Linked DNA regions of Notamacropus eugenii. Each later gene encodes a partner of the first gene's protein in a complex. Links are inferred from orthologs where the notes say so. Each region holds a gene or a part of one and is shown on either strand. Other genes may lie near its edges.

Region 1 (16,121 bases):
CCCCAACCACCTATTTATTACACATCTTGAACACGATGTTCTATAGACATCTTAAATTCAACATGTCCAACACTAAATTCATTATCTTTTTCCCTAAAGCTTCCCCTCTTCCTAATTTCCTTATAACTGTTGAGCAGACAATACTCCCAGTTGCCCTGGCTTACGACTTAAGTGTCATCCTCAATTCCTAGCTCTCCTACCCCTCCCCCACATCCAATCTGTTGCCAAGTCTTGTCAATTTTATCTTCATGTATCTCTCCTATATGGCACTGCTTTTTCTCTGCTATGACTCTCATCACCTCATACCTGAACTATTATTATAAAAGTTTAGGGTTGGTGGCCCAGCCTCAAGTCTCTCCCATTCCAGTCCATCCTCTAGTTAGCTGTCAGACTGATCTTCCTTACTAAAGCACAAGTGTGACTATGTCTTAAACACACACACACACACAGACACACACACAGACACACACACACAGACACACACACACACACAGACACAGACACACACAGACACACAGACACACACACACACACACACACACACAGACACACACACACACCCATTCAACACTCTGGGAGAACAGACTGTCTTTTACCATTCATTTTAATCCCAGCACTTAGCACAATGCCTGGCACATAGTGAGTGCTCAGAAATCATTACATGACAACCAGATTTAGCTAACATTTGGCACAACTCAATATACATTTTAAATTGTCCTGAAAAACTGGTTTGTCAAATAAGCTTTCTCAACAACAACAAAAGCCAAAAACTATTCTTTAAAATACTCAAGCATCAACTGCTTTTTGTGATGAACATAGTAAAGATAAAAGAACCTTGAAAAGTTCCCATATTGGCAAAGCAATCTGATTCCTCAACAGTTAAGTGAGCTTGCATTTATCCCCTCCTCTCCCCCATCAATATCCACACCCAACTCTAGGAAAATCAGTCTAACTTTGAAAATTACATAAACTTAGAGGCACAACAGATTATATTAAAACCACTCTCCTTGCCCTGTTTCACACAGACTTCCTGAAATAAGACACATCTAGCTTCTAGACTTGGCTCAAATGTCTCACAGGTACTAAAACTGTAGGGTAACAAGATGACAAGTAACTCAATAAATGTGCACCAAATGCTACAAGTATAAAGAAATTTTTCTTACAATCCAAATTCAGCTTAATTTCCATGTCAAACTGGTTTTCATGACAACATACACAGGTTTCAAAAACTGAGAGAAGCTCTCATGGATTTGGTCAACGATAGGTCCCAAGTCAAACTCCACTTGGATCATTGTTCTGGCCCAGAACTGACTCCAAGTGAATGTAAATAGGAATTGTTTCTGTTTTGGTCAGAAACCCTGAGGGTCTTTTCCTCACAATTTGATTTTTTGGCCTCAATTCTTTTTTTTTTTTTTTTTTTTTACTTTTAGTCACTGATGGGCTTTGTCTCGGTCAAATTGAGACCTGCTAAAAACCTTAGCTTTAAAAGGCCAAGGTTTACCACATCTGCAGCCATCTCCAGTTGGCCTGACCTGTGTCTGGCCACTGCACCCAGATGCCACTGGAGGAGAAAGTGAGGCTGGTGACTTTGCACAGCCCTCCCTCACTTAAATCCAATTCCCGTACACATGGCACCACCTCCCTGATGTCAAGGTCCTCTTGACATCCAGAGGAGGAAGAGGAGAAGGACAAATAACATGTTTCAAAACATACATATTTATCCTCTTATTTTAGATGAACCAGAAACACAACATAATCATTTAACCAAATAAATTGAGAGTCATATACTGACTCTCAAAGCAGAAACTTATAGGATAATAATCCAACACTGATTGGCATTTGTAATACTTTTTGTGAATATTTGCCCCCATATTCTCCATTCATACCTTCACTCCCATACTGACACTGTCATCTCTCATAGTACACCTCTCAAGAGCTGATAATATAAAGTTAAATTTATGCACCTAAATCCTTCTGTGGATTTTACAGCTGAATTGGGCTTTCTTCACGACCAGAACAAAATTTTTCTCTCTACATCATCTGAACTTGACTGACAGCAGACAAGGACATCACAGTGTGCAGATATAGGTTAATTAATATAATCTAGCCAAAAAAGGAGGTATACACAGCTTCAGACAAGTTGTTCTCATACTTTTGTCCAGTGAGCCTCACCAGACAGTAACAAATAACCACAATATGCCAAGGTATACACTTCTGTTTCTGCAATTAGCAAATTTACTGACAATTTGTTTAAAAGACAATACCTTATTGATCATACATATTTAGGTTGCTGAAAAACAATTCTTTACCAAATGAGCTCTTCTACCAAAGATGGATGTAAAATAAATTCTTTTCCTATTTCCTTTATAAAACCAAAGCTCGACTGCCACAGAGATAGAAGAAATCAATAAGGATCAAGGGGAGGAGCATACACAATAAAACAATCAGGGGAGAATAGTAACAGTGAAGCTAATAGAACATTAAAGCTCAAGAGGGATTAACAGTATCAAATAATAGAAAGGGAGCAAATGTAAGTAATGTGGGGGTCACATTTACAGAGTTGTGAACCTCAAATGCCTACGTATAACACTATGTCAATTATTACCAAAAAATTAAGGATTTCAAATTACATAAATTTGAACCATTTGAGTGTGTATGTGTATAAATGTGTGTATATGTATATGTATGTGTGTGTTGTTTAGAGGCACATACATGTTAGAGGCAGATTATCCTGGAGGACTTTTGTTTCAAATCCTGTCCCTGACAACAGCTATGTTACCATAGCACAAGCTACCTCTCAGTCTCAAGTAATTTTTTCTATGACATTTCAGTTAGAGACAAATTGTATATACTCCAACAGCAAAATCAGATTCTAGACATATTAGGGTATGTATGTTTGTGTTTATATGTACACACTTAAAATTCCTAGTAAAAAGACTGAACTTTATGAGTTAAAAATTATGTTGAATTAGATAATGGCAACATCTCTCAGCCTATCTTTTTCAAAACAAAGGTTAGCAACATCTTACACCTGTGGTTGGTACTCACATTTTCTCTACCCTCAGTCTCTCATTGCCATCTCATTACCTCACCCAGACTACTGTGAGAGCCTCTTAATTGGTCTCTCTGCCCTTTCCAATTTATCTTTCTCACAGCTAAGTTGATTCAGTTGTCTGATCAAGTCACTGCCCTACTGAGAAATCTTACCTGTTGTTTTTAGGATAAAATATAAACTCCCCAAGCTGGAATTTAAAGCCCTACAGAATCTGGCTTCTTCCACCTTTCCAGATTCATTTACTACTACAGTCCTTCTTACACCCTCTATTCTGATCATACTAATTAATAATACCCACACATGCTATTCCATTTCTCCCTTCTGAAACTTTGCACTCCTCTGACATCTGAAACTCACTCCTTCATTTGTATTAACTCTTTCTGCTAAACAAAGCTCAGGTTCTACAATCTTCCACAAGTCCTTTTCTGATACCTGGCTCCCCCCACCTCCACATCACAACTTATGAACACTTTTTACCTCTAAAAATTCCTTCCAGTTTACTTATGTACATGTTTTAACATTGCAATAGAACAAAAAGCTCCTTGAAGGTAGGGACTTTGATTTTTTGTCTTTCTATAGAGTAAGCACTTAAATGTTTCTGGCACTGAGTTATAATTATCTGTGTACATAATTTACTTACTTAGTAAAATTTAAGCTAATTATAGGCAGGGACCTTTCTATTTTTGTCTTTAACACATTGTTATATCGTTGACATTTAAGTGAGTAGTCTTGCTACTCTAAAACAGTAAAAAGTCAGATCCAATCACTTTCCTTACAAATAAAATTTTTTGAACCAATGAATTCTACAACTGTATATCAGTACTTTGAACATAAAAGGACCCAATGATTTTTGCTGAATGATTAAAAAGTATGGCTTGTTAATGTTTTGGATATTTCATAACATATTTCACAAGTATACAGTTAAAAGGGAGAAAACATGCCTTTACTTACGCTGTAAAATCTGCAGCTGCTGTAGCTGCTTTTGTAGCATCTTTATTCAATGTGGCACCCCATACAGCACCCTTATGACCCAAAAATGTTCCAATCCAGTCTCCTGTATCTCCTTGGCGTAGCATAGGCTTACCATCTAAACAAATTTTTAAAAAGTGATTAATAAGTGTTTCAGTAATCAGTGTTATATTCCTAAAAATTTGGGAGTTAAAAGTTCTCAATAATTACACTGACATAATGAACTGCCAGAGAAGAAACAATTGCTCTATAATTTAATTTTAGAGCTGTGTGAGGAACTGAGAAGTTAGGTGTCTCTGGGCAAGTCACTTCAGCATCTCAGGCAACTTTCTGGGACAAAGAAGCCACCAAATCTCCACCAGTAAACAAGTTCTTCACCTGGGAGCCCTCTATCTGGAAGAGGTCTCATAAGGAAAAAAAATGTAACTGTGGAAATAATTTGCCAATCTCACAATTAAATAAAAGAGCTAGGTAAAGTCATGTGAGAAGTCCAGCAAATCTTCAAAACTACTCTCAAAGCAAAAGCTTGTAAAAAAAAAAAAAAAGAAATTACAAGATTTTTATCATGAAACAGACATAAATGGTATGATTAACTTAACTATTAATTTGTTACATCCAATTCAAATGTAAAACCTAAGGCAATAAATGAAAAGTATAAGACAGCAAAAAACCAAAAATCACAATGTATTTGCATTTATATATGGACCTACTGAGTATTTTAAAACATAAATGATTACAGAAAGAATTATCAACCATAATTGGATAACAGCTGAAAATGTATTTTAAAGTTGAAAAAAATATTCAACATAAAATTGGTAATTATACTTCAAAACAGAATTTCCAAAAGCTTTCATGCTATATATTTTAAATTGAGGCAACTCTTCATATGTTCTCCTCCAATACCTCCTACCGATGTGGGGATAATCTTTCACATTCCAAGATTATGACAACAGTAAAAGCATGGACTTGTCTACTCTAGATCTAACCTGGCCTTTAATAGCCCATTAGCACACTTAAGAAATCAGGTTGGCCACCCCAGGTGGTAAATTTCTTGAGAAGCATGGAAGGGCTCACTATTGCCAGTTGGGATGAAAGGAGTCCTCCCCTATGATAAAATTATGGCCATTCTGAAATGTTAAATATTTGATCCTAAGTTTTAATACATCTTTTAGTATGAAAATTCACTAAGTGGACTCCTCGATTCTACGTCCTGGACTCCACAAATCATGTATGCGATATTTCCTTAATAGTTTGTGAATACACTACAATACAAAAAAAAAAGTGGGGGGAGGCCTTTGACTTTTGAGGATCTAAAGCTTAGCCTATGACTAATAGACATGTTGTAATCTTTAAGTGGGGCAAAATCATAAAAGATAAAAAAAAATAAAAAACCCAAATTGTAAACTTGTTCCAAGTAACTTGGCGAGAAAGTTGAGGTAGTTTGCCTAGCCGATTCTTAGCCATGTGCCCACAGCAAACGAGGCTCCTCCAGGCTTCCTCTGTTCCCCACCGAGCGGGACAGCCCCCACTCCCTAGGGCCTCCCTGGCAGGGCCCCACACCAGCACCCCTCCCCCAAGCCTCGGAATCTATTTCCAGCCTTTCCAGGCCGGGGCATCTGGACTGGCGGCAACTGGGCCCGCCTCCCAAAATGGGGCCACGGCCAAACCCGGGGTCCCCCGGAAGCGGGCAAGGGCACGGGGAGGCCTCTGGAGCCGGCGCACGGCCTGTCTCCTTCCTTTCCGCCTCCAGGCCAAGGAGCGCCAACCCGAGCCCGGGACCTCGCTCACCTTTGCAGGCGCTGATCAGGAAATAGCCGTAGGGAGTGATGCCACTGAAGGCCAGATCCACCACAGGCCGCGTGTGCCCCGAGCAGGTCAGCGGGGTCTGCCTCATCGCCATGGCGGCGGCGGCCGGGTCGGGGGGGACGGCTCCTCCTCAGCGGACGGCTGCAGGGAGGCGCCGTGGGGTCGCTGATGTCCTCCGAAGGCTGCTCCCGAGGGGCGGCGAAGGCTCCGGCCGCTCCGGGAAGGGCCTGGTTCCGACACAGGGGCTGGGGCGGAGGGGGAGGGCAGGAAGCTGGACGGCGGCGCTGAGATCTGGAGCGGCCTCCGGTGGGTGGTTGGGGGGGGGGGGTCAGCGCGGGGTGGGCTCTAGCCGCCGAGGAAGGGAGAGGAAAAGGAGGAGGAAGAGGAGGAAGGGAGGGAGGGAGGGAGGGAAAGAAGGAGAGGGGAGCGCCGAGCCGGGCGCCGCCAGCACCGTCCACTCCGGCGCTGGCAGGAAGTGACGACGGTAGATGACGTGAGGGCGTCGCTGGAAATGACGACGTAGAAAGGGCGTGGCTTCGGCCCCGCTGCTGGCGCCGCTCACTTTAGGCCCCGCCTCTGGCCCCACCCCCCGGGCCCTCCCTTTCTCTACCTTCCGGAGAGAAGGAGTGGGTGAAGGCACTAGCAGGTGGGGCGGTTTGTCTCGAGCGCTCGGGAAAGGCGTCTCCTGCCCCGCCCGTTTGGGGTCCAGGCCACCCTGGGGCCGTATCGTCTTCAACCGATTGGATCTCGACTTGAGCAGTTTTAGGGACGCACGTGTCCCCCAGAATAGCAGTCGCCCTGCTTCCGGTCCCCTCCCGGTCCGACTCCTACCTGAGTCCGTGTATTTTGTTGTATTTTCAGTATACACAATAGCGCCCCAGCTACAGTAACCGTGGGTGGAATCGCATTGTTAACCTTCTTCCCGAGGTTCTAGATCTAGAACTGGAAAGCCCTTGACGTTCCCAGGAGCCCAGGCTTAGAGACGGGCGGCTGCGGGCACGGACCGAAGGAGGGCGGATCGGAGATTCCAAGTCATCCCCTCCTTCTCCACCTGCTGCGCTGCCCGCTCATGGGCAAAAAACAACTAGTTTAAGTTTTAAAATGTATTAGGCTTTTCTTGGGTGCCAGGCACTGCGTGGAGAACCCCAAGGACAGAAACAGAACAGCCCCCGCCTTCCAGGAGCTTGACTTGGCTGAGCTGGCTTGTTCTACTTCATGTTAAAGAGGAGGAAACTGAGTAGCAGGGATTGAAGTGACCCGTTGGGTCTTGTCCGATTCGTGACCCCAGTCGGGTTCTCTTGGCGAAGATTGGGGTTTGGGGATTTTCTTCCGCTCATGTGGTAGGTGAGGAGTTGAGACCAACAGGGTTGTGACTTGCCCAGAGTCGCATGCCCACTAAGAGTCTGGGGCCAGATTGTCTGCCTGATGGCAGGGCTGCTGCTCAACCTGCCCCAGCATCAAGCTGTACTTCATGAATGGCGCATAAGGTTCTCTGATAAATAGATGAATCAAAAAAAAGTATTGATAAAGCGATTGGTATGTGATAAACAGCAAAAGTGCTGGAAATACAAGTAGAATGACGCACACCATCCCTATGCTCAGGAAGCTTAGATTCTTTCTAATGGTGGAAAAAACACACATAAGGGAGTAGCAAGAAAAAGGAGTTATAGTCTAGGGAGTCACAGAAAATATTTGTATTATGTTATCATCCCATTTGATGAGTTTTACATCTTCGATTCCAACCCGGAGCAGCTTTTATCATGGAGTGCTGACATAGACTTAAAAATTTTTTTTCAGTTTCAAATTCTTTCCTTCTCTCCACCTGTTCCTCATCCATTGAGAAATCAAGAAATTAATACCTATTATACATATGAAGTCACGCAAAACATTTCCACATAAACCGGAAAGCAAATAGTATACTTCAAATCTGCAATCAGAATTCATCAGTTCTCTCTCTGGAGGTGAAAAGGTGATTTTTCATCAGAAGTCCTTTAGAATTGTCTAGGATCATTCTGTTGTTGATCAGACTAGCTAAGTCTTTCACAGCTGACTACGTTATAAGGTTGCTGCTACTATGTACAGTATTTTCCTAGTTCTACTCACTTCACTTTGCATCAATTCATATGTCTTCCTAGGTTTTTCTGAAGCTCATCATTTCTTACAGCACAATAGCATTCCATCACAACCATATGCCATAGCCTTTTCAGCCATTTGCCAAATGATGGGCAGCACAAAAAGAGCTGATATAAATGGATCCTTGAAATGGAGTTTTGATACAATTTCATCACCACACTCCCTGATTATCAGGATTGTTCATCCTTTCTCCCAGAGGCTGTGTCTCTGATAAATCAGCAGAATCCTAAGGAGAAAGAGGGATCTCTACTCTAATATTTTCTCAGATCTAGGCTTCAGCTGATCAAGACAGACTACTTTTGTATATAGTGCCAGTTGACCCCCTCCAGTCCATTCTTACTCCATCTTTTGTGTGGGTCAGCTGGACCTTAAGATTTGTGACATCTCAGAAGATTCTCTGCAACCTGAAGAAATGGTTCAGGTCTCCCTTAACTGATAGATTTCCTTTTCCCTGAGATGTTTTGGACTATGTCTTCTTAGAAAGGGTTTGAGGGACCAAATGTGGAGTATTTTTTTCTTTTCTAATTTGAGAAAAAACTCTCTTCATCGTCACAGTGAGCTTAGAGGTGTTCCTAGATTCTAGGCTTATTTTCCCAATTCATATGTAATAGACGTGGGTAGATCTAATATAAAACAATTAGTCCACATATGATATAGACAGATATCAGAGGTGAGATCTGGAAAGCCCTATTCCATGTCTGCAAATGGAGATTATGATTTCCACCTCTGGCTTGGAGGCAGTCTGGAACTGCATTGCCAAAAGCCCTGTGAACCACAGGGAGAATCTAGTCAAGGTATGACCAGGCAATCACTCTTGCTCTTCTATCCCCAATAGGTATTTGAGGCTACAATTATATCTGTTGTTGTTCAGTCATGTCCAATTGTTCAGGACCCCATTTAGGATTTTTTGTCAAATATACTGGAGTTGTTTGCCATTTCATTTTCCAGCTCATTTTGCAGATAAGGAAACCGAGGCAAGCAGGGTTAGATGACTTGCCCAGGGTCACACAAGTAGTAAGTGTCTGAGGCTGGATTTGACCACAGGAAGAATCATCTTTCTGATTCCAGGCTCAACACTGTATTCACTGTGCCCACAATTGTATCAGCACACCTCAAATATTTGTAGTCTAAGGGTCAGTGTTCTCTCTTTTAAACATTCAAAACAAAAGGCACTTTTCCCCTTGTCCCTCTTAAGGGTAGGATAAAACTTAACTCACCCTCATCAGCTAAGCTCCCTCCCACCAAATAATAGTTATAGAAAATACAAATACAGATAGCTATTAGACCTCTATCAAAGTAATCAGTAAATGGAAATCAGCTCATTTAGATTAAAGTAGTAGAGTAGAATAAATGAGCTCTTCTGAACTGAAATACGAACTCATTTCAACTAAGGGAAGAGAAAAATGAGGAGTGAGGGCTAGGAGGGGGTATTCCACTCAGCATTCTCTAGGGCTGGTGCTAGAAATCAAAAGACCTGTTGAAGTCTGGCTTTACCGCCAGTCGGTATCTTTATTTAGATCTCCTGTCTACTATTCAAAAATTTACATTCTTTCTGGATCTCCCTTTCCATTTCTCTCAGGAATCTCTTAAAAGAAATCCCTTCTCCGCTTTATGCTCAGCAAATGAGTCATGGCTTTCTGCTGCTAGCCCCTACACACACACACACACATACACACACACACACACACATCCATACAGTCTTACAAGACTGCCCCTAAGAAAATTACCCAAAACTTGGAGCAAAAGTGGGGTTACAGAGGAAAAGTGACCCTTTGACTCATTTGGAGGTGATTTTAAGTCCCTGGATGACAGTGGAAGGGAATTTTTCCAATTTTCATAAAGGAAGGTGGTATCCCATTATTAGAAGCACCATCTAATACCATGTATTATATGTAATTTTATCTGTTCTGGGCTAGCTCAGACTCAGGCCATTGTAATGGCTAGCAAAGTAGAATTCTTGGCAGTTTTTCTAGATTGAGTTTGCCAATCAAGTGCCTTCGACTGAGTCTTACCTTTCATTGAATCAATTAAGAATCTTTGATTGGAAACAATATACATTGTATTGCTTGGAGAGACAAGCAGAGCTAAGAGAAGCAGAGAGAGAAACAGAGCTGAGAGAAAGAAACGACCATGAGTGGGCTAGGGGAATGGGGACACCTAACAGAAAGAATGTTTGTGATGTTGGTGCTCTGTCTGTTGGTCTGTGTTAATTCCTGAGGCAGAAGCCCTGTCTGTTAATCTGTGTTGATTTCTCAGACAGAATCCCTGTCTATTGGTCTTTATGAGTGAATTGAGATGAGGACATTGGTAATGTGTTATAAATATTGTTATAGCCCTCTTAAGCTTTGTTTTCTTAGTAACAAAAGCTATGGGCAGGAGCCCCTGGAGCCTGTCATTAGGCAAAAGCAGGAAGAGTTTGGAGTAGAACAGTCACCATGAGCTGAGCCAAGGAACAGGAGTTGAGAGCTGCCTGTATGTGAACCCAGGCAAAAACTGAGAATGGTTGGCCCACAGAGGAGGAGCCATGGTGTTTGGAAGTCAGCCTCAGGTCAAGATGAGAAAGGACTTTACTTGGACACTATGTATTAAATTAAGGAGATTGTTCTTACAGTGACCTAGGGGTGGATGGTGGGGTATTGTCTGATCCCCTTAAGGATGCATTGTGCTAGGGAAGACCCTAGTCTGTGACCCTCCACTTTGGGGATGTAGTGATTTATGCTATGCGTCATATGACATACTGAATGTTATGAGATACATGTATGTATTAGATGATATGTTTTGTTTAAGGATGTTGATATGAATGTTATATTTTATTGAATAATGTGTAGTTTATTGCTGAACAGAGAGTTTTTATACTATATGCTTAGATCCTTAAGATCATTCACAGCAGCATTCCTCAGGTGTGCTGCCATGATTGGCTTTACAGAAGCTGCTCATTTATTTTTATAATGGAAGAGAATGAAAATTTAGATCAACCGGCAGTTAACAAAAGGAGATTTGCTTAGCCATGGTAGAAGGATATACAATAAGGACTACATTGAGAACCCCTTGAGTTGATTCACCTGAGCAAAGCTTCCTTGCCTGAATTGTCCATTAAAAGTTTTCCATGGACCAAGAATTGCAGAGCACCTGAAGCTAGTTTTTCATAGCTGTTTTATATTTAGGCAGCCAGGAAGTGATATCAGCAATTTCATCCTTTAGTCTTCTGAGCCAACCAAGGCTAAAGGTTAGTCTCAATACCTTTAAGAAAATATTAGCTTAACTTTCATGAGGGCAGGATTAGGATGTGCCTTCTACCATGCCATTATCCCAGTGGGGCTCCTAGGGAGGGGAAGTTTTGGCTGGTGGGCCTGGGAACACTGAATGGGTAGCAGGCAGGTACCTGGTACCAACTTGGGCCTCAGAACAGGTGGCATGCAAGTGACCAATAACTACTTAGCTATTTTAATTCAGATAATCCATATCTCTCAGCTTCAGAGGTTTCTCATTTGTTTCGTGGCCCTGGATGTTCTTGTGCTGCTCCTATCTAACAAGACTGTTTTATCCCAGAAAAGTTTCTATGAATTTCCTCTGATTTTACTTCCTTGATGTTCTAAAGATTTTTTACATTGTTTTATGTTTTTATAATATTTTATATATTGGGCTTCTCTTCCATTGCTGCTTATATTAAGGTTGTTTTAATATTATTTTTGTGGTGAAAGGTCCCATAGAAAATTTTAGGGAACTTGATACTAAGGGGTAGGAAGTGGTAGGAGAAAAATCTTTTCTATGTAGCCCAGTCCTGCAAGGGCAGAGAGGTCATTTTGCTTTCTTGCTGCCTAATTATATAGAAGGTCCAGCACAAGAGAATTAGTGTTAGAAATTTCAGCTTGCCTCCTGTTGCTTTCTGGAGAATGTTTTCCTACCTGTGCCAATTCTTCAGGAGGATCTCAGTATTGTTTTAACATTATATCCTTTTATGTATGTATAGAATGTATATCAGATTTCATACTGTCTTGGGGAAGGAGGGGGAAGTAAGGGGAGAAAATTTCAACCTTATGGAAGTGAATGTTGAAAACTAAAAATAAATAAAAAAAGAATTTAGTCAAAAAATTATATCCTTTAAAATCGCTTCTTTTATTCTCTTATTTAGTAAAGTGGTGTTCAATATAGTTTTTATGCTTCTTATTACACCTTGAAGCCTTGAATATGCTTTAGGCTTGACCTACACTAACAATTTAGGTTGGAAGGGAAGTTACTAGTGGTTGGGGGATCAGGAAAGACTTTACATAGAAGGTGGTACTTGAGCTGTGACTTGAAGAAAGAGAGGGATTTCGTGAGGGGAGGGTCATATTGAATCATGTAATCTCAAAGTTGAAAGAGAGGAACCTCAGAGGTCACAGGTTCCTAGATATTGGTCTACAAAGGGGCCTTAGAGGTTATCTAAGTACAACTACATTTTGCAGATGAGAAGATCAACAAGGTTAAATGACTTGCTCAAGGCCAGATAGATAGATAGCAGGAAAGACAAGATTTGAACCCAGGTCCTCTAACTCCAAATGCAGAACTTTTTTTACTACACTACTGACACTCATGAATGCTTTACCATCATGGCTCAAGATCAGTTACTACAGTTGATTAATGGATAGGAAATATATCTGTAATGTCTTTAACTAATAATCTTGACCATCCAAGCTTGGCTTAAAAACTTCTAGTATTGCATAATTCGCCTTAAGTCAGCCTATTCCACATTGGAGTAGCTCTCGTTGATAGAAAATATGCACTTAAATCCAGCCAAACTCTAGTCTCTACAACTTCCACCTATTGCTCCAATATCTGCCGTTTGTGATGAACTGGCCTAGTCCTTCTTCCATAAAAGAGCCCTTTTTATGGAAGACTCATACAAAAACAGCTAGCATGTTTCCCTTAAATCTTGTCTTCCCCAAATTGCATAATACTTTATATTTATCACAGCTCATTTTTTAAGATTCTCATTAGTCTTGCCTCTCAAGATCTTTTTGGAACATAATTCTATCATCTAATGTGTTGACTCTTCCTTCTACCTTTGTGCCATCTGCAAAGTCAATAAGCATACTACCTGAGTCCTTGACAAATATTTCATTGTGTAACAAACTTGGAGGGTAATAAAAATTATTTTATTGTTATGCTTTTTAATACAACGAGTTTATCACCAAAAATCATGTTCCTGACCATAGGTAAAATAGAACTGGTATTTGTTGTATTAACCTGATGACCATCCTATTGGAGCTACAGAAACAAAATGCTAGAAATAAGTATATATGAACTACCAAGCTAGCATTATTTGCTGAAAGATACACAAGATCTAAATAGGAATTTCCAGCCCTGTGATCCAGTCCTTGCTCACTTTTAAGTGGCAGAGGCTGTCCTTGGGCTTTAGCTTCTTTCACTTTCAGGAATGCTCTGAGCGCCACTAATACTGAATGTGTATAACAACATGGAGGTGCTGTTCTAGGTCAAGTCTACCTATTTCCCTTTACTGTACCCTTTATAGGCTTTCTGAAGCAAGAAGTGTTCATCAGGACAGTGTTGGACAGTTCTCATCTCTCGCTGTATTGCGTGATGAGTATTAACTCTATATTAGGCCTATGCCTGGCATATTCAGTTATCCCTAGGCTAATGAGGGAAAGTAGGCTTCAGTTCTACTTTGCTCTGGGCAGCTGGACAGGGACATAAATCAACACACTCCTCTCTTGCTAATTAATAGGATGGGAGCTATGTCTAATAAATAGAAGCAATGTGTTTCATATCATCCATCATCCCATATAGGCTCATCAACTACTTCCAAGTCAGGAATGGGTTCCTCTCAATCTGTCCTCTGCTTCATTAGGTGATTTATTCCTCCTGAGACTTGTAGGGTATCTATAAGGGAAAGGAACAAGATAATAGCTGGAGAAAGGGGCACATGCTTTATCCTACAAGCAGCTGGGGTTAGGAGCTAAGGGAGACTGTATTCTTAAGGAATGCAAGCATAGGCACAAGAGCTAAGCTTAAGACCCACAGTGCCTACTTCATAACTGGGTAAATAGGGTCAGTACAGATCTGGGGCCTTTCAAGCCAAGTCAAAGACCAAAAATAAAACTACTGCCTTTTTTACTGAACCACAGAATTTTAGAGTTGGAAGGGATGTGTCAGAGGCCATGTAGCCCAACTCATACACAAAAAGATTCCCTAATGTAATGTAATTGAGAAGTGGCCATCCAAGCTCTGTTTAGAGGCTTCTAAGAAGGGGAAATCCATTTCCTCTTGAGATAATAATTCCACTTTTGGATAGCCCTAATTGTTAGGAAATCTTTCCTGACAGCAATCCTATATTTACCTGTTTGCAACTTCTGCTCACTTATTTCCCCTTGTTCTTACTTCTAGGGCTAAGGAGAGCAAGTCTGATCCCTCTTTCAGATGACATTCCTTAAGATACTTGTGGATGGCTATGATATCACCCCAAGTCTTCTCTAGCTAAAAATCCTTTCTTCCTTGATCAGATTCTCATGTGATGGATCTATGCAACTTCTCTGATGTAGAGTTAAAATGTAAAAGGAGTATTTACATGCAAGAAAAAAGGAGGGAAAGTAATATTTATACCATCACTTACCCCCAACACCACTATTTCCCTTCCAAATCCTTTTTCCTCCTGAGCCTTAGTTGCATTGTTTGATTTTGATGGGTGGTTGGGGAAATTGAATTTCTCGGGATGTCTCATGAATGAAACAATAAAAGACATTTGCTACTTGATAGCTGAATAAGAGATTTGGGGGGGCGGAACCAAGATAGCGGAGTAGAAAGACGCACATACACATAGCTCCGAACCCACAACCCACAGAACGGCTAGAGGGGACCAACTCACGGTGAATTCTGCACCCAGAGGCCACGGAATATTGGAGCGAGGGAGATTTCTGTTCTGGAGAGACCTGCAAACCTCTCGCGGGGGTCCTTCGCGCTGCGGACTGGGCGCCGGGACTGGGAGCTGAGTGCAGCCCTGCAGCGGCCGCGACACCGAGAGGAAAAGATCCGAGCAGGCTACGGGACGGGATCTCCAGTGGCCATGCGGGTCCCTCCACCCACAGAGGGACCTGCAAACCTCTCGCAAAAGGTCCGTCGCACTGCAGACATGGAGCCCAGCCCAGACCTATGGCGGCCGCGGCTCCGAGAGGTACAGATCCGAGCAGGCTTCAGGGACGGGATCTCCAGCAGCGGCACAAAGTCCCGCCACCCACAGGTGACGGGGGTTGGTGAGAGAGTCTCTTTGGCGGGTTGAGAGGGGAGTGGGTGCCCCCATGGCTCGGCCCCCCCCCCCCCCCGGGAGGTAGAAGCTGAGAGGCGGCTGCAGACAGGGGCTCCCCAAGCGGGCGGGAGCCTGGATCCATTGTGGAAGGTCTGTACATAAACCCCCTGAGGGAACAGAGCCTGAGAGGCGGCCCTGCCCCGACCTGACCACCTGAACTTAATTCTCACACTGAATAGCAGCCCTGCCCCCGCCAAAAGCCCTAAGGCTGGAAGCAGCATTTGAATCTCAGTCCCCAAACACTGGCTGGGAGGACCAGGAGGCAAGGTGGGAGTGAGGAGAATATTCAGAAGACAAGCCACTGGCTGGGGAGAATGCCCAGAAAAGGGAAAAGAAATAAAACTATTGAAGGATACTTTCTTGGAGAACAGACATTTCCTCCCTTCCTTTCTGATGAGGAAGAACAATGCTTACAATCAGGCAAAGACACAGAAATCAAGGATTCTGTGTCCCAGCCAACCCAATGGGCTCAGGCCATGGAAGAGCTCAAAAAGAATTTTGAAGGTCAAGTTGGAGGGATAGGGGAAAAACTGGGAAGAGAAATGAGAGGGATGAAAGAGAAGCATGAAAAGCAGATCAGCTCCCTGCTGGGGGAGAACCAAAAAAATGTTGAAGAAATTAACACCTTGAAAACTAGCCTAACTCAATTGGCGAAGGAGGTTCAGGGAGCCAATGAGGAGAAGAATGCTTTCAAAAGCAGAGTTAGCCAAGTGGAAGAGGAGATTCAGAAGCTCACTGAAGAAAATAGTTCTTTCAAAACTAGAATGGTACAGATGGACGCTAAGGACTTTGTGAGAAAGACAGGTATCACAGAACATAGCGAGAAGATTGGAAAAGTGGAAGATAATGTGAAATATC
Region 2 (14,988 bases), on another chromosome or scaffold:
TTTTTTCAATATTTTGGTAAATTTGTTTCCTTTATAATACTATATGTTTTGTTTTGTGCATTCAAAAACATCCTGAAAAGGAATCCATTGGCATCACCAGTCTGCAAATATTCATTATTCATGGACAGGTCAAGCCACTATAATAAACATGACAGTACTACCAATCAAACTACCAAAGGATTGCTTCGTAGAGCTAAAAAATAATTTATAAATTTATCTGGAGGAACCTCAAAAATCTCAAGGGAAATATGAAAAAAAAATGAGAAAGCTTAGCAGTACAGATTTCAAACTATACTGCAAAATAGTAATAAACCAAATGATCTGGCACTGGTTTAAAAATCACATAAATCAGAGGAAGAAGGAAGAAATTTATTTTCATATCTATGAAAAGGGAAAGAGTTCACAATGAAACAAGGATAGAATCATGGAGGTGGAGGGAAATTAACAATTTTCTATTAACATAAAGGTAAAACATTTTTAGATAAAAACAATATTGTCAAAATAAGAAGGTAAAAAGTTAACTGGGGGAAAATGTAGAAAATTTATCTAGTAATGGTATCATTTCTAAGATATAATTGATTTAAATTTATCTAAAACTAAGAGCCACTGCCTAAATGATTAATAGTCAAAGGTTACGAACACATAGAATACAAGCCATCAACGACCATGTGAAAATGTTCCAGATCACAATTAGGGAATTATTATAACTGCAAATTAAAACAATTCTAAGGAGCCACCTTAGTCATCAGATTAGTAAAGGTGACAAAAAAGGAAAACTACATATGTCCGGGAAACTACATATGCAGGGGAAACAGGAATTCACATTAACATACCATTGGAGGAGCTATGAATTTGTATAGTCATTCTAAAAAGAAAGTTCGAACTATGTCCAAAAAGTCAATACAGTGTAGATAACCTTTGATCCAATGATACAACTACTATCCAAAAGACATCAAAAAAGCGGGAATTTTCTCATATTTCTCATATGTATACAAATATTTGTATCAGCTTTTTTTGTAGTGGCAAAGAACAGGAAACTGGGAGAGTATCCATTAAATGACAGAGGATTGATCCAGTTATATGGGTGTATTTGGATTATTTTGTCACCCTCATTCTAATGAGTAAATTTTTGATTATTCCTAGTTTTACTTTCTCGTTTACCAAATGTTTCATGTTTAAGAGTCAATGACTGATTTTGTATAAATGACAAACACAATGGTAGATGCTCAGTTATAGAGGCACACAGTAGGAGTATCATGGAAACATGTACGCATATACATATCCCTAGGATACTGACAAAGTTTGAGTAGGTAAGGCACTGCCACCCACTCTAGGGACACCACCTGCCAGAGAGAGAGAGAGACAGAGAGAGACAGACAGAGAGACAGAGAGAGAGAGAGAGAGAATGAGAGAGAGAGGTGGGCATATCTATGTATACACACACACACACACACACACACACACATATAAAACACTATTGTGCTTTAAGAAATGATGAGCAAGATAGTTTCAGAAAAACCTGGGAAGACATAGGAAGTGGTACAAAGTCAAGTTATCAGAACCAGGAGAATAATTTATACAGTAATAACATCCTAAAGGACAAACAACTTTGAAAGACTCAGATCAACACAATGGAATCAACCAGAGCTACAGAGGACTCATGAAGAAACTACTAGATAACTACTACTCTACTTCTAGATAAAGAGATGATATTCTCAGAGTACAAACTGAAGTGTATTTTTTTTTGACATGGCTAACGTGGGAATGTACTTTGCTTAACTATATCTATTTGTAACAAGCTTTGTTTTTCTTGCTTTCTTAATGAGTGAGAAAGAAATTTTGGAATGAATAATAAAATGAATAATAACTAATAATTTTATACATAATATTGTATATATTTATCTTTAGTATCAATAATTTACATTATTATAATTTGTATATATACTTATATTTTTATAAAATAACAACCAATAATATGGAACTAATAATAAACTTAATTATTAATTAATTAATAAACTTTAATAAAATTAAAAATGAATTTTAAAAAATTTAAAATAAAATATTCTAGTACAGTCCTCTCAATTTATAGCTAAGGAAACTGAGGCTTTGAAATAATAAGTGCCTTGTCCATAGTCCAATCATGTTCTGACTCAAAGTCCAGGGCACTTTCTACTATAGCAAATGATACATTCCAAGGCCATTTTAGAATTTTTCCTCATGTTCCTCTTTCAAATCTAATTAGACTAGGCTACTAGACATTTATTAATAATACTGATGATATTGTAAAGGACATGAAGCCTTGAGATGCATTCACAGATTGTAAAGGCTGTGTCCCTTTCAGACTTTGGCCAGTGTAAAATTTTTAAGAAGCATAAAAAATGTTACTTAAGCAACCCAAGAGAGTGCTGACCCTTGAATGAAGCCCAAGAACATAGGAGACATCTGGTGATTAGCTAAGAGAGTCAGTCACAGTTGTTGGACCATTATAAAAAATAAAGTTGGACCGCTCTGAAGAAAAACAAGAGCTCAGAAAAGCTAGCAATAGAGATGAGAGATAGCTCTGAGGAAAGAATTCAACTGTTGAGATATTGCATTTAACTTTTGCCTTGCACCTCCTCCAGAGTGCAGAGAAAGGGGAGAGAATTTCTTCCTCTCTCTCCATCACTGGCAATGGTATCTTGCAGCTGAGCAACTTGCCTAGTAGGAATTTCCATGCCCAGCAGAAGACAGAGAGTCCAGCTGTGGAGTCAAGTTGGTCTGTGGAAAAGAGCAGACCAGGGAGTCCAGCAGAATGGCCTGTCCACCAGAGATAGTCTATGCAGGATGACAGCGTAAAATGAGAAGGTAATAAGGAGGACCCTGAAGTGCCTGGAGTGGGAGTTGTCTTGGCTACATGTGTTGCTGCTTATGTATATTCCTTTCTGCTTATGAACTCTGTCCACTTTTCTAAGTAAATCTGCCTATATTTGTGGGAGAGTTTGATCCAGGTCTATGGAATAAATATTTTGTTACTACTTTCATGCTGTGCCATTTCAGCAAATGTCTTTAGCTTTGAGCTAATTACGTCAACTGAATAGCCATGAATAGGAGGGCCCATGAAGAATAGTTTTAGAAGTTCAGACCTACAAGGTTCTGTGATTTAGGGATAGTCACCTCCAGAAGCCCTAATCCAAAAGTAAGCTTGTGGTAAGGGAATGGGGTAGCACAAAGTGAGTATTACACTCATAATACTATTTCCATTGGCAAAGGATCTATGATGTCATCAACCTGAGAACTCTCCCAATGCACAAATTGCAACTTCTTGATACTTTGGTGGTTTCAGAAGTTGCTGTAGCCACGAAATGCATCATTTTTTGGTGTTGAGACTTTCTAATCTTTCTAATATTAGGTTGTTCTTCAGATTCAGAAAGCCCCCACCCTCCAGGAAAGATTGTACTTAGGGTGAAACTGTCCTCTTTCCCTTCATTATTCTCCATTCTCCCCACAGACTGCACATCAGCCTATCAACTGCATTTCCCTCATGCAGTTCCAGCTAGCATAGTTCTGGCTAGTTAGAAGGATAGGTTTTCATTTAGCATCCATAGACAACAGCCATCAATCAATGGTAGTACTGGAATCAGTGAGAGACAAACAGCAATGATCTCCAATAACTGTTCAACCAGTCAGCCATACTCAACGTCCCCAAAAGCCTTACTCTTGGTAGCCATTTGTCGTCATTGCCTTGCAAGACACATTTCACCAAAGGTCTGGGTACTCATACAAGCATACAATAAAATTCTTTCATTAGCCTTAAGGTCATTTACAATAGCCCATAAAAGCAAACCATCATCAGTTGTCTTTCTGAATTTTGTAAAATGAATTTATCACCCCTCTGTAATACACTACTGATATAATATATTTATGTCTTCTCTCAATATTAGAATCAAAATCATGTCAAATTTTCAGAATTGCTAATTCATTTAAATAAATTGTTACTTACCTTTTTGAAAAATAATTCATTATTATGGTTTGGGAACACAAGCGCTCTATTCTGACCATTTTTTTCTTTTTCCTGTGAACCATATGTTTTCCCACATATTGCATGAATTCCATTGTTAGTTCAATAGCCATTGTATATTGCAGTTAGTCTTGTAAATAGATATTCCTCTTTACTTTTTCCTAGTTTCCAGTGAGAGAAAAAAAAGGAAAAAATATGCTAATATATTATTCAGTGCTAAAAAAAAAATGCACTTACAAAATGTCAAGAAAAAAATATCACGACCGAATCTTGCACTGCTTGACTGTCAAAAAGTTTAAGACTTTGTCTCCTTTATTTCTTCTTTTTCAGATTTATGCTGACAAATTATCCATGGAAATTCTGCTAGGTTTCTTGTAGTTAGGCAGGGTCTCTCTACAGTGCTCAACTGCCTAGTTAACAGCTCATAAGTACTATTTCATCATCTCTCAGTGAAAGGGCTAATGATTACATCCTGGTTCTAGAGACAAGTTTTTGCCAGCTAAATCCATTGTAAAACAAACAAAAGCCTTGCAAAACAAAGGCCAATATTTGTTCAGGAAGTCTCAAAGTTATAGTACTTCTGTAACACCCTTTCTCTGCTAATTCTCCCAATTCACACTAGACAGCAGTTTAGGTTCCCCAGAAGGCAATGAATTTACTCCCCTCAGGATTCTAGGAGTGACCTTGAGGGGCTAGGATTTGTAATACTGTCGCCCATGAGCCCCCATCCACTGTGCCCCCCAGTATCTACCAATCAATTGGTATCAATTCCTCTATAATGGGAAGATATAGCAAAGACAGAAGTTACAAAGCAATTCCCCAATTCCAAAGCAAACTCTCCTCTCTGCATAGTCCTTGAAGAGAATGTGCTCAAGTTTAGATCACAAAGGTGTGAAGCACACAGGTAGGGAACAAGTGGGATCCAGAGGTACCTTACAAGTACAGTTATCCCTTCCACATCATTGGCATTAGGGGAACAGTGCCACTCCCCCAGATCTGGAAAATAAGTGTAAAAGTTTTTGGCCCTCTCATTGTAAAAGAGAAGAAGTCTGAATTATTATGGTATTAAAAAATAAAATATGTTGATACACAATACTATACATATATTTTATGCATCTCTGAGTTTCTAAACTTTTTCTGTGTTGTCTGCCAGCCTTCACGTGTCATCTGTGGCTTCCACAAAATTCCCCAATATTTCCCATTTAATTTCTTATGCCAACCTGTTATATATCTAAACCAAGCTGGAGAAAGCCATAATGTGGAAGTACTGGTGTGAGCAATCCTTTTCTCCTCTCTGAGTCCCCAACAGGTTTGCTTCTGGGCATTGTATCATTGATAGATGAGTCAGTCCCTTGCTCATTTAGGCTGATTCCTTGCCAGCATGGTTTGCCGACTGACATGTCAGTCCATTGCTGGATTGGGCCAAACAGCTGCTATGCTTGATTCTTACCAGACTTGGCCACCACTGCTGACGAAGTGATATGGCTCTGGTTGCTGGCAAGAACTCTTTGATGGCTCTCTGAACACAGTGATTGCCTGGAGATTCACTTCTAAGAATACTAGTAAGTAATAATAAAAACAAAGTAGGAAAGAGAAAGGTTTGTATTCAAGGACATGTGGTGGCTGGGCAGAAAGACAGGGTGGCATCTACTGCTACTGCCTCTCCCACCCCCACTCCCCCAATGGCTCACAGCAATTCTTGAATCAGTCCCCTAATCACTAGGCTCCACAACTTGAATGGAAATAGAACCAACAAGGAAGAGTAAATTCAAGCATGCCTTAAGGATTGGGCCCTCATTGGCCAGTCTTCCCACAAAAACTTCCATTGGATTACAAAATATTCAAGAACTGAGTCCCTTAGGCTATTACAGATTTTTAAAACTCTTGCAAACTCAACTTTTACTGAGTTCTGAAAAACAAAATTCGAAAAAAATTAGACAAAAAAATTAGAAAATTTCTTATGCAAAGTAGATACTGTTAGTATGATACAAACAGCATAAATGGTGGTGGGAAGCTGAGAAGTATCTTAAGTCTGTCCCCATGTGTCTGTATACGGTTATGCTGTGCCTCTCTCCCTGTGTTCAATAGTGATCCTTACACTTTCACCATGACTGGTAACAAATGCGGTCAGTCTTAAGGGGGAAAAGTGAACCATTTCATAAGCGCAAGCAAATAGATTTGGAAAGGAAAATGAAAATAATTATAAAATATGGAGGCCAAAATTGTCATCAATAGTATGTAAACTTAGTCTTGCAGTGTCAACTATAAACACCATAGTGAAAGATGATGCCCAAATAAAGCACTGCAAAAGGCAAAGGGTTGCATGAAGTTGACTTATCTATCAAAACAAAGAGAAGATGCTATTCTAGAGATAGAGAAACTATTCACTATGTGCATAGAAGACCAGAATCAGAATATTCCTTTGAGTCTGGTGAAATTCAAGCCAAGGCTCAAAACCTCTTTGAAGATTTAAAAGTAAAGTACCATAAAAGAACACAGGCATTTATAGCAAGCAGATGGTTTGTATGATTTAAAAATCTTGCATGACTTCATAATGTACAAGTGTCAGGAGAGACTGCTAGTGCAAATATTGAAGCAGCAAAGAAGTTTCCAGATTTCCTGCAAAAAATAATAGATGATGATCCCTACTTGCTCAAGCAAATCTTTAATGTAGACCTGGCCGGCACAACCCCACAAGCCTGCCAAACGATTCTGGGTGCCTGTGAAATGTAGCCTCTACATTTTTTGCAGGCCACCCACAATCCTTTGGCAGGCCATAGGTTGTGCAGGCCTAGTATAGATGAAACTGGCCTATTGTATCAAATATCTCAAATCTACATCTTGGTGGAGGGAAAAAACTATATTGGAGCATAAAACTTCAAAAAACAGAGTTACTCTTCTGCTTGGAGGGCACATATCTGGGACTTGCAAATTAAAACCTGCTCTTGTACATACATCTCTTGGAAAATCCCAGATCATTGAAAGGAATCAGCACAGCCACACTACCTGTGCGTTATTTTGCTAACCCTATGGCATGGATAACCTTTATCATCTTTGAATGAGGATTTATGCGCTGCTTCACTCCCGAAGTGGAGAAGTTTTATAATAATAATGGCATTCTTTTCAACATTCTACTTATTTTGGATAATGTCCCAGGTCATCCTCCCTATCTAGATGATTTTAATGAAAATGTTAAATGGTCTGCCTTCCCCCTAACACTACCTATTTCAAGTTATGGATCAGGGAGTGATTGTAAATTTCAAGGCATACTGTTTACACATTCATTTGCCCAGGCAACTGAAGCTTTGAATGCAGATAAGCACTTCATATTGAGAGATTTCTGGAAGTCCTATAATATTTACCATGCAACCTGAAATACTGCTAAGGAATGATAAGATATAACAGAAACATGTATGAAGAGTTTTTTTAAAAAGTATGACTAATTTATTCCTGATTTTCATGAATTTGACAAAGATGAAACACTGTAATAAGTGAGTAACAATATTGTAAAATTAGCACAAGAATTGGAGCTAGAAGCAGATGAGAAACATGTGGAGGAGTTGATTGAATCTTATAGGGAAGAAATATTGAATGTAGATTTGATTGAGCTGCTAGCTGCAAAGAATGCAGAAGAGGAAGGGGAAGCTTCAGAACTAAGGTAAAACCAAAAAGATTCACAATGAAACAGCTTGCTGAAGTATTTCATAATTTGAGTGAATTTTTTTTCTTGCTTTGCAAAGATGGAGCCAAATACTTTGAGATTTTTAAGTTCAAAGACTAGTTGAAGATAATATTGCTTATAACCGTCAAACATACAAGGAAAAGAAAAGAGCCACTGACTAAACATCTCTCAATAATTTTATTTTTAAAAAGTTGTACAGCCAACTGGAAGGGGCAACATACTGTATACCTATATTAATTTTACTGTATAGTGCTGTACACACTTTATCATTAACTTTTCCTGTCATTTCATTGCTCTTCATTATCATGGCACTGTATTTATTATGTCTACATTTTAGTATATTTTATGACTTGCATAAAGGTATTACTTTGTAGGAGGTATCTAGACCTCAGTGGACAGAATACTAGACTTGGAGTCAGGTATATCTGAATTACTAGCTGTGTGACCCTAAGCAAGTCACTTAACCTCTGTTTGCCTTGGAGGCAGCTAAGTGGCTCAATGGATAGAGCACTGGGCCTGGAGTCAGGAAGACCTGAAGTCATAGGCTGTCTCAGAAACTCACTAGCTAAGTGAACCTAGGTGAATCACTTAACCTCTGTCTGCCTTCATCCACTCAAGAAGGAAATGGCAAACCATTCCAGTATCTTTGCCAAGAAAAACCCATATGTAGTCATGACAAATCAGATATGATTAAACAGCAACAAATTATTTTGTATATGCCTCTGCTATATAGGCTGGGGAGGGGGGGAATTCGCATTACATAAAAATCACTTTACACAGAGGTCCACGGAATGATCTATTTCTGTAAAGTGAGAACTGTCTGTATTTAGAATTTTTAAAAAACTAGGGAACCCTGAATTCTACATTAAGGAAACAGCCATTTCCTGGTAACAGCCTAGCTTATAGAGATGAAGATGTAAGAAATGTACCGAATAGTCACATTAAGTTTCTTACCAAGAGTTCTCAATTATGTATAAAGGAGAAGTAAATCTCAAATTCACTAGTTTGCCAAGAATACCCTGCTTTTCCACCTCCTGCTGAGTGACAGCAAATCAAAACTAAGGCTCCAGGGAAGAAGCACTGGAAAAACCTCTGTCAGTTCTAGGGAAAAGGTCCATGTTCTTTCTGAAAGACCAAGACAGTACTAAACAAGGACTATCTAGAGCTGAGTCTAGAGACAGAGAAAGGGATTCTGAGAAAAGACTCATGATAATAGGAAGATGGGATTTTAGCCAGGACTTGAAGGAAGCCAGGGAAATCAGAAGGCAGAAATGAGGAGGGAGGGAATTCTAGGCATGAGGGACAGCAAGTGAAAATGCATCAAGCTGGGAGCTGTAGTGTCTCTTGAAAGTAACACCATGGAGGTCCATCTCATGGTATCATAGAATGTGTGGAGGGGAGTGAGATATAAGAAGCCTGGAAAAGTAAGAAGGGGCCAGGTTCTAAAAGGCTTTAAAAATCAAACGTATTTTTGATACTGGAGTTAACAGGGAGCCACTGTAGCTTATTGGATGATGACATGGTTAGACAATTTGACAGAGGAGCAGAAGAGAGACTGGAATGAACAGAGACAAGAAGACTATTCTGAGTGTGAAATGATAAGGACCTGCCCAGGGTATTGGCAGTGTCACAGAAGTGGGCCTATACAAAAGATAGTGCAAAGGTAAAATCAACAAGGCTTGGCAACTGAAGGGATGTGGGGGAAAGGGGGGGAGACAGTGAGGAATTAAGCATATTATGTTAGGTCACATGATTTCCTACAATATCAGTTTTGAACTATCCTTTTCATTTACTCATATTATTTCAGAACTAAAATCTATTTTGCAAAAAAAAAAAAAAAAAAGGATGTGTGAATGTAAGCTTGAATCCCAGAACCCAATGGTATGGGACTCTCTCCTCATTGTGGAGATCAATACCCTGAGAATACATGAGGGGACAGTTGTAGACAGGGGAGAAAAAAGAGATCTTCAGTCTCTTCCTACTTGTAGCTTCCAGTGTAGAGAGAGAAGCCACGTGAGGAACTCTCCTAGGGACCATGAAAGAAGAAAGACTCTGGCAAGAAGGTGACATATAGAACTTTGATCCAATGGGAGAGTTCCTTCAGTCTGTGTTATTGAAGTATCTTTTCTCATATGTATACCTTCTCTGGTTTATATTTTCTATCAGCTCAAAAGGTGGGTTTTTATTTTTGTTTGTTTTTGTTTTGTATATTCCTTATGGAACTGGTATTTGCTGGGAAAAGGGTCAAGTCTTGGATATTAAACTTGGGGTCCTTCTTTCACCATTAATGAATAGCAATTAGGAATTTAGCTTGAACCTAAAAATTCCATTTCCTAGGCTAATAATATTTAATATAAGTCTAGCCTGGTATTCCCTCACTCTAAGAACATCAGAGCAGTCAGGCTCTGTTCCTCTAACCTCCTGCTTCCCCCCCTGGCAAGAAATGAAATCTCCCTTGGAGAAGGGCCTTTGGAGATGTATCTATTCTATCTTCCCTGTGAACCAAATCAAGTCAGCCTCATTACATAAATCTTTCTGAAAGAATTCACTTGAATAAAAATATTTTGTTTGGGAGCACACAGAATTTTTAACAAGTCTTTTCACTAACTAAGGTAGTTAGGATCACCACATTTGTACCTTAACAGCATTGTCCTGATATATGTTGACAGAGGAAGAGGAAATAGCATAGAAGAATGCAAAGGTGGGAAAAAAAATCCATACAACATGAAGGAAAGTAAAACATAACTTTATTAAAGCTGTTCTTGCCCTTCAGCATGTGAATTACTTCAAATAATAGGCTATGAAATTATCAAGGAACCCAGGAAACCCTCAAGTACTCTAAAAAAAAAAACCACGTTGCTTTTTCAGCAGTACTAAAGTCACCATGCATGTATGTCATTTCAATACTCAACAGATTTGTGGTTACAATGGTGTAGGTATACTTTCTTCACCACTGAAACCCTCTTACAAGTTAATATTCTATCTTCAAAAATTGCTATGGCCCACAAATTCATCACTACTCACCAACCTAGTAATTGCCATAAATTTAGCTTGGCTGGACTTCAAACAAGAAATACAGTCTGTCAGGTGAGTCTTTTCAGTTTAGTAGGACCCACCTGAACATGTATTACACTGAAATAATTAATAATAACTATCAAAATAGTATAAATTATAATATAACACCTACTATGTGTCAGGCTTAGTGTTGAATGCTTTACAAATATTATCTCATTTGATATTCACACAATAACCCTGTGAGGTAAATGTTATTATCATCCCTGATTTCAGTTGAGGAAACTGAGACAGAGTGGTTGAGTGACTTGCCTAATGTCACATAGCTAGTGAACATCTGAGGCTAGATTTGAATTCAAGTCTCCCAGACTCCAGGTACTATAATAATACCTAATTTATATAGTTCTTACTATGTGCCAGACACTTTATAATGACTGTCTCACTTGATCCTCACAACAACCCTGGGAGGTAGGTGCTATTATTATCCCCATTTTACAGATGAGGAAACTGAGGCAAACAAACTCTTGTCAGAGTCACACAGCTATTGTATCTGAAGTAAGATTAGAACTCAGATCTTCTAACTCTAGGCTTGGTACTGTATCCCAGTTCTATCTAGCTGCCCCAGAAAAGCTTTTAAGACCTGGGCCTTTCTACATACATCTCCATACAACAATAAAGCACCAGGCTAGGATGTTACTATACCATTTCCCCACATAAAATAAGCATAATAGTTCTTTCTCTTCCCCCTTTTAAGTTTCAGTCTTAACTTCAATTCCAGCACCCTTGTCTTCCATGAGAATTCCCAGAAATGCCCATGTACTAAGACTACAGTTCTAGACCTGGAGGAACTTTCTAGTCTAATCCCCTCATTTTACATGTGGCCCACTGTATGTATTGTTAATATATTTTTGCTTAATTTGAAGATCTTTCCCATCCATTAATAAGTCCATGTGACTTGTTTATATCACATAGAAGCCTAATCACATGTGGTAGGAGGAGCTTGCTGAACAGGTGGGACAGGAAGGCTAGAGCAGAACTGGGTGGAAGTGGGTAGGAGAGGTTAGGTTTGAGAGAGGACACAGCCAAGTAGACCACTAGGATTGTAAGTGTTTGCTTGTGGGAAGGCTTGGGAATGGAATTGTCCCCTGCAGGGATAATGTGTATCAACTTCTTGGTTACTACGATGGATTTGGCTTTCTGGTGTTTGAATAAATGTTTTTCTTCTGCTTTCTATATGGAGAGTCTATTATATTTTGCAATTTAGATCTACACCAGCATATCCATAGTTGCCATCTGTGCCTTGGCGATACACTGCCAATAATAATACATTTCCTGTGTCAGAAATGCATCAGTAGTTTTATGTGCAATGTATCACATAGAGCACCATGGTCATCCCTAATCTGGGAGCTCTGGGCTTATACATATCTGGATTCATTGGGGGAAGGAGTTGGGGTGGAAGGGCATATTTTTGCTCTTTCTTCCTCTATACCTGCAGCTCAGAATAATCCCAGAAAAATATTTAAAACAAATTTTAGTACTGTTCATGTCTAGGTTCTCTCTAGAAAAGGTACTCAATGTACAATAGAGATACCAAGTATAAGATGGTATTTATTTCTTCCATCACAGAAAATGCTTAAGATACAAAGGACTCAAAGGTACACATGAAAAAATACAAAATATGTAATCCATTCAATTAGTCCATTATATGCATTATTCTCCCCCAGAAAGAAAAACAATTTTGCTTTGAAGCAGATATTATACTTTCACCTCAGACTTGTATGGTTCAAGCAACTCACAAGTTTTAGGTACAATGGCCAGCCAGGACATGACTTCAATTTGCACTAGCCCTTCACGGAAGAATGGTGCTGGCAATACCCATTTTCTATTAATTGAAGCTCTCCTCTGATCAGCTGATACCTGAATCTCAAACTCAGGGACTCCATCCAAGGGGTAGCTTGAAACATAGGCCGGAAACCTCCATTTCTCAGGATTGCAAGTTGCTAATTCATGCTTGGGGAGGAAAAATAGCAAAGCAAAAAAAAAAAAAAATTCACTGAAGCAAAACAGTGGAAAGAGCACTGGTTCTGGAGTTAGAAAATCTGGGTTCAAATCCTGACCTTGTACAAGTCAAGTATTTAACTTCCCTCAGCTTCAGTTTCCTTTATTTGTCAAATGAAGGGGTTACAATAAAAGGCTTCTGAGGTCTACTCTACAACTATGATCCTTTTAACTTTGGCTCAGCTAATTCAATACATGTTTTTATGGCCATATCCTTGTAACTACCACTGCAACCTGCGGTGGAGAGAGATCTTCCCTCTCTGTTCCTTATTGCAAATCCAGGGGAGGGAAAGAATCACACCAGAGAAGAGCACAAAAAAGTGAGGCCAACTATTTCCACAGCCTTACAATATAACCAAAGTCTATCCTCTGAACTCTTGAAGTCCAGTTGTTGTTGACAACAACCCCCAAGTTCTCTATAGACAGTATGTCCTTTGAGTCTGACAACAATCTCCTCAGCTTCATGGCAGGTGCTAATAGATCCAATCAGGGGTTCCTATGAGTACCGTGCCAACACACATACACACACTCTTCACATGAGGTAACTGAGGAGGCTCTGGGATCATCACACTCATCGCAAGGTGCCAGGGCACTTCCTCCATCAGCATCTAGACTGAAGTCTAGGCAAGAAGTTTCAGTTCCTCCAGAAACCAACAGGGTGGAGACCAGTAAGGCGAAGCCCTGCAGCACCTCTGCCAAGAAAACCCCAATGGGGTCAGCACGGAATCACTGACGTCATTTGAGTCTGTAACCCCTCTTTCTGGGTGACAGCAGAGTGGCCAAACTCCGGTACCAACGTCCTGCTTCCCCTCCTGGCAGGACTTAGTCTCCCCAGGAGAAAAGCGGGCAGCGGAGACTGGAGATGGCTGCTCCGGCCTCGCCGGGAACACAGCCAACCTCCACCCTGCGTTTTCAGGTCACGATGAGAGGCCCCAAGGATGGTAAAGAACGTAAGCCGCAGGCCTCAGACTCTATCAGAACACAGCGACACGTGAGGTTATCCAGGAACAGGAAACTACGTCAGCCCACTCTTACGGAAGGGGAAAGGGAAAGAAGGGGGAAGGGAGGAAGCTGGCACGAGCTATTCTATGCGCATGCTCTGGGGCCTGCCCGTGGCGCATGTGCAGAGGGGAGCTTGCCCGGCCTGGTCCCACGGCTCACCTCGACCGCACCGCCTGGGTGGAGGCGCTATGGAATCGGCGGTGGAGGAGCTGATGCCCCGCCTCTTACCTGTGGAACCCTGCGACTTGGAGGAAGACTTCGACCCCTCCGTGCCACCTCGGACGCCCCAGGAATACCTGAAAAGGGTCCAGTGAGTGGCTTGGCTCGGAGCGTCCGGCCTCAAACACGTCCCCCTTCCCCCACTCAGGCCTGCGGCGTGGGTGGAGTCGCCCTAGCGCCCCCTCCCCCTCCCTCGCCGACGTGGCCGAGGCGGGGCGCCCGGGGGGCGGAGGGGGGAGAGAAGGGGGGAGCGCCGCGTCCTAACCCGGGGGGCGCCACGTCCCACCTAGGGGGCGCCTCCTTCCCGAGCCCGGAAGCCGCCGCCTGGGGTGGCTGGGGGGCGCGCTCGTCCCGGGGGTGGAGCACCTCGGTTGCTGCGGGGGCTGGGTGCGCTGCTGAGCGAACTTCCCCAAACCTTTCGTGCAACTAGAAATGCAGATGAGGGAACGAATTAATCCTGAAATGAAAAATTTTTTAAGTTCTTTTTTTTTTTAATTGATCCGTAGGCTTGAGGCAGCGCAATGTCCGGATGTTGTGGTGGCACACATTGACCCAAAGAAGTTGAAAAGGAAGCAAACCGTGAATGTTTCAGTGAGTTTTATACAATGTGTTATTATTAAGCGTTTTTTCCGGTTAAGTACTGGAAATTTATCTGCACAGCATAAGCATTAGACCTCTTAAAATAATCAGATCCTAGAGGGTCTTTCAGTATTCAGAAATCACAGTTCATCTTCGAAGTTGAAATCTCTGCCATTCTACTGTATAGGCTTGTGTCACGAGGATTTAGAGCGAAGTCAATCCAGTATGTACACACCCTGTGCCTAGCACTGTGCTAAAGCTCTGGGGATACAGAGAAAGGCAGAAACAGCCCCCGCCCTCCAGGAGCTCATATTTTTTAAGTCCCTGTTCTGCCATGCTTTCTTCAGCTATAATATTGTTCTTTTTTTTTTAAGGGTTCATTCAGCTGTAAAATTTCATTTAGTGGATTAAGTCCTTTGAGGTAGGTAGGCCAGACCTG

The links.
Region 2: STRAP (region 1) and GEMIN2 share a complex: the UniProt entries of both Homo sapiens proteins name them as parts of the SMN-Sm complex. The link is inferred for Notamacropus eugenii from reciprocal best matches to the Homo sapiens genes STRAP and GEMIN2.

The regions. Positions count from the first base shown.
Region 1 is NC_092874.1:190,183,991-190,200,111, forward strand, and holds the start of STRAP (serine-threonine kinase receptor-associated protein), read right to left. Parts: upstream 6,338-16,121; 5' UTR 5,925-6,337; coding exon 5,813-5,924; intron 4,143-5,812; coding exon 4,007-4,142; intron 1-4,006. UniProt on the Homo sapiens protein: The SMN complex catalyzes the assembly of small nuclear ribonucleoproteins (snRNPs), the building blocks of the spliceosome, and thereby plays an important role in the splicing of cellular pre-mRNAs.
Region 2 is NC_092872.1:331,893,955-331,908,942, forward strand, and holds the start of GEMIN2 (gem-associated protein 2), read left to right. Parts: upstream 1-7,720; 5' UTR 7,721-13,837; coding exon 13,838-14,061; exon of another isoform or gene 14,062-14,104; intron 14,105-14,476; coding exon 14,477-14,561; intron 14,562-14,988. UniProt on the Homo sapiens protein: The SMN complex catalyzes the assembly of small nuclear ribonucleoproteins (snRNPs), the building blocks of the spliceosome, and thereby plays an important role in the splicing of cellular pre-mRNAs.